2 linked regions of the Yarrowia lipolytica genome follow. The protein of the gene in region 1 interacts with the protein of each later gene in a pairwise test. Links are inferred from orthologs where the notes say so. Each region holds a gene or a part of one and is shown in the gene's direction. Other genes may lie near its edges.

Region 1 (4,078 bases):
CCGTATACCAACTATGCGGAAGCTCAGTTACACCACTTCAGTTGGACACACACGCTTTTATAGCGAGCTCAGAAGGATGGGGACTTCGATCAAGTATTTACTAGTTGTTATTGATTACTTTTGTGTACTACTTGGTATGACTGTCTTTCACTCCCCGGTCTTAGCTGCCTGTGTGATACAGAAGGTACCTAGCTTGAACTGGTGTATCTACCAACATGTGGAGAGGGAGCTAGAGTGCAAGCATTTATTACTTCCATTACTTTTGATGTACAGTACTATCAGAGGCATTTCAAACCGTCTGGAGAGCAGTCTACATAGGAACAGCCCAGTGAGAAGCCCTCCCATTCTGGCTTGTGGTTGGTCAGATAAATGTGCCATGAATGTACCAGGAAACTTCAATTGACTGTCGAACGAGTCTAAACACTTTTGGAATGTACGTTTACATGCATTCTGGGCATCCGAGGGTGAAGGACACCGACCGATCGCTCCGCGCGCGTTTTTGGTGGCTCTCTCTCCGCGACATCTTCTCTAAGATAGAGAGGGACAATCTCCTGACACAGCAACGTCCTCAAACGACTCCATTGGCACTATGATGGCATTGTTGGGTTCTTCTTGGTAGTCTTGAATGCTTAACGTGTTTCTCCTTTTGTTAACAGTTCAAGGAACACATCCTCGCGAGTCAGAAGACTCCCCTCCCTCGAGACTTGATATTTTTAAAGTTCAGCTTTGAGATGGCTTCTGAAACACCCGTGAGGATACGTAGACAATGTATCCTCCCTTCAACTCCCCCGATAGTCCAGATATTGAGATTCTGAAAAAAGAAATCGGCTTCTGCTCTGGTTACTAGTATATATATTTCTCTACTCTCATCACAAAGTGTCTACTGGGTGCTGCAACTGTCCCCTCCCCCCCAATCACCACCAAAACTGTATCCCATTTAAGGGTGCAGATTGGGACAATTAATGGGTTCGAAACTGGTCACATCATTGACAAAATTTTGTCAAAACGTTCAAGCTTAAGAGACGACTCAAGATCCCTTCTATGTCGCGATGTAGTCGAGATATTTGGATTTTGAAACCGACCCCGAGATCGCTGTATCGTCCTCTGCCATCTTCTGCTTTCTCAGTAGCTCTAGCTCCATTTTGCGCCCCATTAGTTGCACTCCAACGGCATTGGATTAGTAAGCGATGAATGGCGGTTGGTATTAGTCAGCAGTAAACTCTGTAGGACTGCAGCGTTACAACTAGAGAGTGCATTTTCGTGGGTTTTCTGGATATCTGGAGTCACGTGATGATGCACGGTCACGTGGATTCCGTCTCATGTGCACCGAGACACCTCTCTATGGATTTTCTTCAAAGTGCCAAAGAAGACATGTACATTCAACTTTGGATGTATATAGTAGTAGTGCATAGGAGATAGCGTAGTATGTGACGGTACAGGTCGTAGAATCCACAAAAGAAGCGTGCGAAAGCCGAAAAATGACCGTCTGGAACACCTCCAGACCACAACTTGGACATTGGACGCCTTAAAAACATGTTCTCTGGCCATGCCTCGTCTCCACTCGTAATCTGTAGATCCCTGCATACTCTCACAGCCTGAGCAGTATGGTACAGCGGTAACAGAGGTTCAAATAACATGAGGATTGCTCTTTGACTCAATCAGCTCACAAATTCCAGAAGCCACCCACAGAGTCAAGCTCCCTGCCAGAATCACACACCTGGACCTCCACTATCGCGCATCCTGTCTAACAGGCCTCCACCTAGGGCAACTCAATTACCCTGTCGTCGGACTCGATCTGATCCGGGCCAGCTCGACGAAAAACTCGTCTATATAAACATTGTCGCGCTCCGCTGTCGCCATCCGAGTCCCACAATCGCTGCCCAGAGTCCCCCAAACACCAGATTCCACACTCCACCACTTTGCCCACCGGGTAACAGTCTCAAACTTACACTTGTCAAAACACAGACGACTCAAAACCCATCCGCCAACACAATTTAAGCCCCGCAAACATGTCACAGTTCATTGGCAAGACCATCTCGCTCATCTCCAACAGCGACATCCGGTACCTCGGCGTTCTCCATGAGATCAACTCCGAGGAGTCGACCGTGTCGCTGATGAAGGTGCGCACCTTTGGTACCGAGGGGCGAACTGGAGGGGCCAACGAGATTCCTGCCAGCGACGCGGTCTACGACTATGTGGTTTTTCGCGGCAGCGACGTGAAGGATTTGAAGATTGCTGTGAGTACACCGAGAGCGAGCGGAGATGATCATGTGCTGATATCTACAGTGACAGCGCCATGACGAGTGACACCACACCAATGGTGGACCCTCACATGTCACGTGTGCTGTACCGTCGACACGCCACTCACCCTTTCAACCACAATGATGAAGCATTAGGATGTAAATTATTTCACCCGAGAGCGCAAAAAACCGTGCGGATATTTCCTGCCTTCCTTCTGATTTTGTGTCTGCCGATACGTTCGGTCTTGTTGAACCCTTCTAACCCAGGACGAATCCGAACTCGAGCCCCAGCAGGCCCCCAAGGAGGAGGCCGAGCAGGTGACACAGAACGAGTCGCCTGCAGCTGCACCAGTGCAGGTCCAGCCTCCCGCTCAGCCGCAGCAGCAATCCCAGCCTCAGGCACAGCCTCAGGTACAGGAGCAGGCCCCTCGAAAGGCACGACCTGAGCCTCGCCAGGAGCCCCGAGAGGCGCGAGAGTCCCGGGAGCAGCGACAGCGAGAGCCTCGAGAACCCCGGGAGCCCCGGGAGCCTCGAGAAACTCCGGCGCAACCCTTTGACTTCTCCTCCAACCAGATTGAGGAGTTCAAGAAGGAAATGACCGAGGACGAGCAGACAGAAAAGTTCTACAACAAAAAGTCGTCCTTCTTCGACAACATTTCGCACTCGACCCGAGAGCAGCAGCGAGACCCCGAGCAGAACCGGGTCAACCGAGAGCTCAACTTGGAGACGTTTGGCCAGACTGATTCGGGGTTTCGACACAACAACTTCCGAGGGGGGCGAGGTGGACGAGGCGGTGGTCGAGGAGGACGAGGTCGAGGAGGTAGAGGTGGCCGAGGCGGCCGAGGAGGTGATGGCATGAGCAACCGGGACAGGGAGACTTTTGGTAGTTTTACCGGTCCTGCTCCGCGGTGGAACTAGACCATAGACGTGCGTATCAGCGTAGCGAGTCGGTCGTCTGTTGGTCGATGTGAGTGTGTTACAAGTACTTGCATCACTTAGTAGTGCATGCACTCGTATCTAGTTCCCGTCCCCTGTATATTTATAGTAATTTATTCATCTCAGACCGAGCAGTGAACCCTGCGATGTCTGAGCATAATGAACTCATGATATGAATGGACAAGAATACGATATCGTGTGGTCAGCAAGATATCAGTACATACCCCAATTCGGTATACAAGTTCTGTTATGCTGTGGGTATTGTAGCTCCTAGAATCAAAAATACATACTCAATACCATGGGAGAAAGAGACAGCTGACGGCAAAGGGGAGTTGACAAATCGATTATCGATACGATTACGAATATATTGTATATTTCGGGGTTCTCATAGCATGGCCACACAGGTTTCTAAGGGTGTAGATGTAGCCTAGATGTTTTACAAGGTGGTGCATATCGCCAACCAGGACATAGGAACGAAGACGGACAAAAAATCATGTAGTGAGCTCGACGAGATGGTATCTGTGTTATTTGAGAACTGGGGAATCTGGATCAGCTCTCTACAGAGTCTCAACTGCTCGAGATCATCTTTCGTGCGCACTTGACAGGGAGGTAGGTGGACTTTTCTGAAGAGGTCTGAATGGCATCTGGAGTTGATTTGTGGAACTAATGTCTCTTGAAAACGTGTTAGTAGATCTAAGTGGGTCAATTTGATGTATTTTTTCAAGTCACCAGATTGATACATTGGAAATACGGATGTACTGTTGTAGAATTTCTTGAAGACTTCTCATGCTCTGGACTGATAGCCTCTTCAAGTTTTGACCGTCCAGAAACCAGTGGGTCACGAACAGAAAGCAAAGAATCCGGCAATTACGGACAGCAGAGCTGTTCTTCCTGTTCACAAA
Region 2 (4,670 bases), on another chromosome or scaffold:
TGGGACGGGGACTGGTTTGGGAGCAAGTCGCGGTGGTGTGGGTCGCACAATGTTATATAAGTGGGGCGCGCATGTCGAAAAACCGCTTCCGTTATAGCTACGACGATAATGTGGCTCTCTATACTGGCAGTGTGGTGCACCCATCTGTCCATGGCGTATCTCCGAACCGTGCGTCTCTCCCAACAGTTCGCTTTAACTATAGTATGTGCATGTACGATATCTGTCAGCGGGAAAAGTTACTCCATGGACCCAAAGGGAAAGTTACTCCAGCTCGTTGGGAGCGAGGATGTAAAGGGCAGTTTAGTGCGGACTGGAGAACAGTTCTGCATGCGGATGACTCGGAATGATTCGGGGTGTCAAGTGCGGCCATGTACTGTACGTACGATATTCACAGGTGTCGGCATAGGCTTGGTTTTGGGTGGTGTTGGATGATTAACCAAGAATCAAGTCTTGTTAGGAGTCGGTTGGACATGGCTTAGAGTAACACAAGGGCACTATACATGGAGGGATAATGGAGGACAAGAGATATATATGAAGATGGCGATGAGATATAACGAGTACTCAGACAGTTCTGGATAGAAGTTGGTTGAATGAAGACCTTGTGACAGTATGTATGAGATCCGAAGATCCAAGGCCATGGTCACCTGAATCATAATTTTTTCGACATCAAGATATCACCAATGTTGACCCAAGGACGTCATTAGTCATTGGACTATTTTCGGCCTGTGGAGATAGTCACCTGTAGGTACAGTACAGTACATACTATACGACGTACGGTATGTACAGTATGAAACCGTGCACGCGCTACAATTTCTCGTCAAGTACGACTATCGTAAGTATGTACTCCTCAAGTTGAACCTCCGAATACACTTCGACCGCGACTGAAGCCGCCATGGTACGATAGGATGTCTGGGTAATGATCAAGAAAGCGAAATGACATCATACTCCAGGGTCAGCTCAGCAAGCCCGATTTGGGCTGTTCTGACTTCCCCTGATTTACATATCTTCAGTAAATATTACTTAAATGTTGTCCGCTATCGACCCACTCGTATCATGCATGTCCCATACGGCACTGGAGATATCGACGGTGTAGAAGCGGCCAATGCACCGGTATTTGTACAATACACAGTACATCTAGTGACATCATGTATCGAGGCAAAGGACAGTCCCACGACGAAGGTGGTCATGTGAGTCTAACCATCCACAAATCGGTTTTTTTTGTTCATTTTATTCACGCCTCAGTTTGTCGACATCTCACTCACTCCACCAATAGTAGAACATTACCCCATATCGCAATCTAAAGTGTTCACTCCTAATGGTATGCAGCGCACTCATATAGTGTCTCGTGACAGCGATAGATGGGAGTACCCAAGTAGGCGTACACATACATTTTTAGACGGGAAAGGCGGTTAAAAATATACACCATGTCCCACTACCACAAAAAACGATCTTTACTGTTGTCTAAATCACCTACAACAGTCTCAACTCACCAGTCCTCAAGTCTCCTCTAAACCACCTCTCAAACTCAAAGTCACACCTCCACCACTACATCACCGCACATCACACCAGTCACCCCATACTTGCACCTCACATCTCTGACATGAACGGAAGTGTGACATCGGTGCAATCGGTGCATTCGCCACAACGCCGGATGGAAGAGGATGAGACGGTCAAGTCCACCGCTTCCAAAACCTATGTGCGCCATGGATTTGACGACGACTACGCCAGTGACGCCTACATGTCCATGTTGGCCGAAATCTTTTACATCTACCTGGACGACAAACGCCACGACACTGCGGGCAATCCGAAACGGTCTTCTGCCGACGGCCCGCCCGAATGGCGCATGAAAGACCGACAGAGAACAGTGTCTGCAGCCATTGTGGTGTGTCTCAACCTGGGAGTGGATCCTCCAGATGTGATCAAAACCGACCCCTGCTCGCGACTGGAGGCCTGGGTGGACCCACAGACCATCTCAGACTCCAAGAAGGCCACGGAGCAGATTGGAAAACAGCTACAGATGCAGTACGAGGTGCTGTCAATGCGAACCCGGTATAAGCAGTCGCTGGACCCCAATGTGGAGGACATTAAACGATTCTGCATAGGACTGCGACGAGGTGCTAAGGAGGAGCGAATTCTGTTTCATTACAATGGCCACGGAGTGCCTCGACCTACAGCTTCGGGCGAAATCTGGGTCTTCAACAGAGGCTACACACAATACATTCCTGTGTCTTTGTACGACCTGCAGTCGTGGCTGGGCTCGCCATGCATCTACGTGTGGGATTGCCATAGTGCCGGCAACATTGTCTCTAACTTCAAGCGCTTTGTTCAGCAGCGTATCAAGGAGGACGCTGATGCACAAGCACCCAATGGTGTGACCAGTGCAGCTTCAGGAAACGGAAATGCCTACCTCGATTGCATCCAGCTTGCAGCCTGCCGGGCCGACGAGACTCTGCCCATGCACCCAGACCTTCCGGCAGATCTGTTCACGTCATGCCTGACGTCCCCAATTGAAATTGCTGTGCGATGGTTCGTCATGAAGTCTCCCTTGGCTTACGGGAAGAAGATCAAGGATCTGCAAATCCCAGGAAGAATTACCGACCGAAGAACCCCCCTTGGCGAACTTAATTGGATTTTCACTGCCATAACCGATACGATAGCCTGGACTTTGTTGCCTCGCGACCTGTTCAAAAAGCTGTTTCGACAGGACCTGATGGTCGCAGCGTTGTTCCGAAACTTTCTGCTGGCAGACAGAATTATGCGGGTCAACTCATGCCACCCAGTCTCGGACCCTCCTCTTCCTCCCACCCATTCTCACCCTATGTGGGATGCGTGGGATCTAGCAGTCGATCAGTGTCTGACTCAGTTGCCTGCTTTGGCTGCTGGACAGGAGTATCGCCACTCGCAGTTCTTTGAGGAACAACTGACAGCCTTTGAGGTGTGGCTGCGATACAATGCTCGAAGTGATAACCCACCTGTTCAGCTTCCTGTTGTTTTACAAGTGCTGTTGTCACAGGTCCACCGACTACGAGCGCTGATCTTGCTCTCCAAGTTCCTCGATCTTGGACCCTGGGCTGTCTACTCGGCGCTCTCTATCGGTATCTTCCCCTACGTGTTAAAGCTGTTGCAGTCCCCCGCTAAGGAGCTAAAACCCGTGCTTGTTTTCATCTGGGCTCGAATAATGAGCGTGGACCATCAATCCATTCAGCACGAGCTGCTCAAGGACAATGGCTACGCCTACTTCATCCAAATTCTTCTCCCCTTTGAAGGATTTGCCGTTAACAACGTGAACGTCCATGACCACAGAGCCATGTGTTCTTTCATCATCGCACTATTCTGCCATGGTTTCAAGCAGGGTCAGCGGGTCTCAATGGGTGCTGATCTTCTCCGGGTGCTCGTGGTTTACGCAGCTGAGCCTGACTCTCCACTGCTTCGACAGTGGTCCTGTTTATGCATCTCCCAACTGTGGTTCGACTACCTAGAGGGCAAGTGGCTTGGAATGAAGGAGAGAGTGCCCCAGAGCCTCATTGTGCTGCTTGAGGATCCTGTTCCTGAGGTCCGAACAGCGTGTACTGTTGCCTTGACTGCATTCCTTGGCAATGGAGACGCTGATCACATTTCCCAGGATTTCAAGGACGTGGAATGCGAGCTTGCTAACGCTGTCCTCAAGCTGACTGACGACGCCAGTGGTATTGTTCGAAGAGAAGCAGTCGTATTCTTTTCGCGTTTCGTCGTCCAGTACCAAGGTCAGATTCTGGTTGCTGCGTTTGCTACTCTCGAGCAAGAAGCTGCTGCTGTCTCCCAGATGAACCTCAACACCTCGTCCAATCCTGCCACCGGTACCGTGTTTGCTGCCGTGTGGGAGGCCGTTCTGACATTTGCAGAGGACCCGTTCACCGAGGTGCGTGACTTTGCACGTGACGTGGTTGATCACGTCTTGTTTGAGATGGGCCAGTCGCCTCTGGGACCTCGAATGGAGCAGCTCAAGCGAACCATGCTGCAGGGAGCCGAGTCCAAGAAACAGCTGCCTAGCGTTTCCAACCTGATTCCTTCGTCAGAGTCACATCATCATGCTGCTGGTAGTCCTGCTCCCCAATCTCCTGCGATGGCTCCTCTAACGCCTACTGCATCTTCCACCATTCAAAATGCCATTGCTGCCGACAGGGCAGCTTCTTCTCCTCTCAACTCGCTCAAGAGGTCTGTCTCGAAGTATCTATTTGGAGACAATGAGCCCAGTGGAACAGCAGCCCAGAAAACGGACTCATCTGTTACAACTGTTCCTTTTGGCACGGGAACCATCCCCGTGACACCTCGTTACACATCGCGAGCTGCAGGATCACGTGCTCAACTCCCTCTGAAGTCCGGGTTTTTTGCTTGGTCCACGGAGTTCTTCCAAGAGCCTCAAATGGTGCCTGCGGAGGCCGACTGTACTGGTTCACAGCGGTACACTGAGAGACTGTGGCGAAAGACCCGCAACGAGAGAATTATCTCCGAGTCGGTGCTTCAGCGAGACGAAGCTGTCAAGGGCAAGTGGGATCACTCTCTAGGTGTTCTCAGCAACAAGACGCAGCCTCAGAAACTCGTTTTTGCGCAGTTTGAGCCACATCTGGCAGTAGCTGACGACCGAGACGGTGTTTCTATCTGGAACTGGGCCGAAAACAAGCGTCTGTCGC

What was found. The genes of interacting proteins can lie anywhere in the genome.
Region 2: the proteins of YALI1_D17151g (region 1) and YALI1_E08271g interact in a two-hybrid assay, tested with the Saccharomyces cerevisiae proteins (2 studies listed by BioGRID, with this or other methods). The link is inferred for Yarrowia lipolytica from reciprocal best matches to the Saccharomyces cerevisiae genes SCD6 and KOG1.

Annotation. Positions count from the first base shown.
Region 1 is NC_090773.1:1,713,552-1,717,629, reverse strand, and holds YALI1_D17151g (uncharacterized protein), read left to right. Parts: upstream 1-2,009; coding exon 2,010-2,237; intron 2,238-2,507; coding exon 2,508-3,158; downstream 3,159-4,078.
Region 2 is NC_090774.1:825,565-830,234, forward strand, and holds the start of YALI1_E08271g (uncharacterized protein), read left to right. Parts: upstream 1-1,600; coding exon 1,601-4,670. UniProt on the Saccharomyces cerevisiae protein: Component of TORC1, which regulates multiple cellular processes to control cell growth in response to environmental signals. Nutrient limitation and environmental stress signals cause inactivation of TORC1.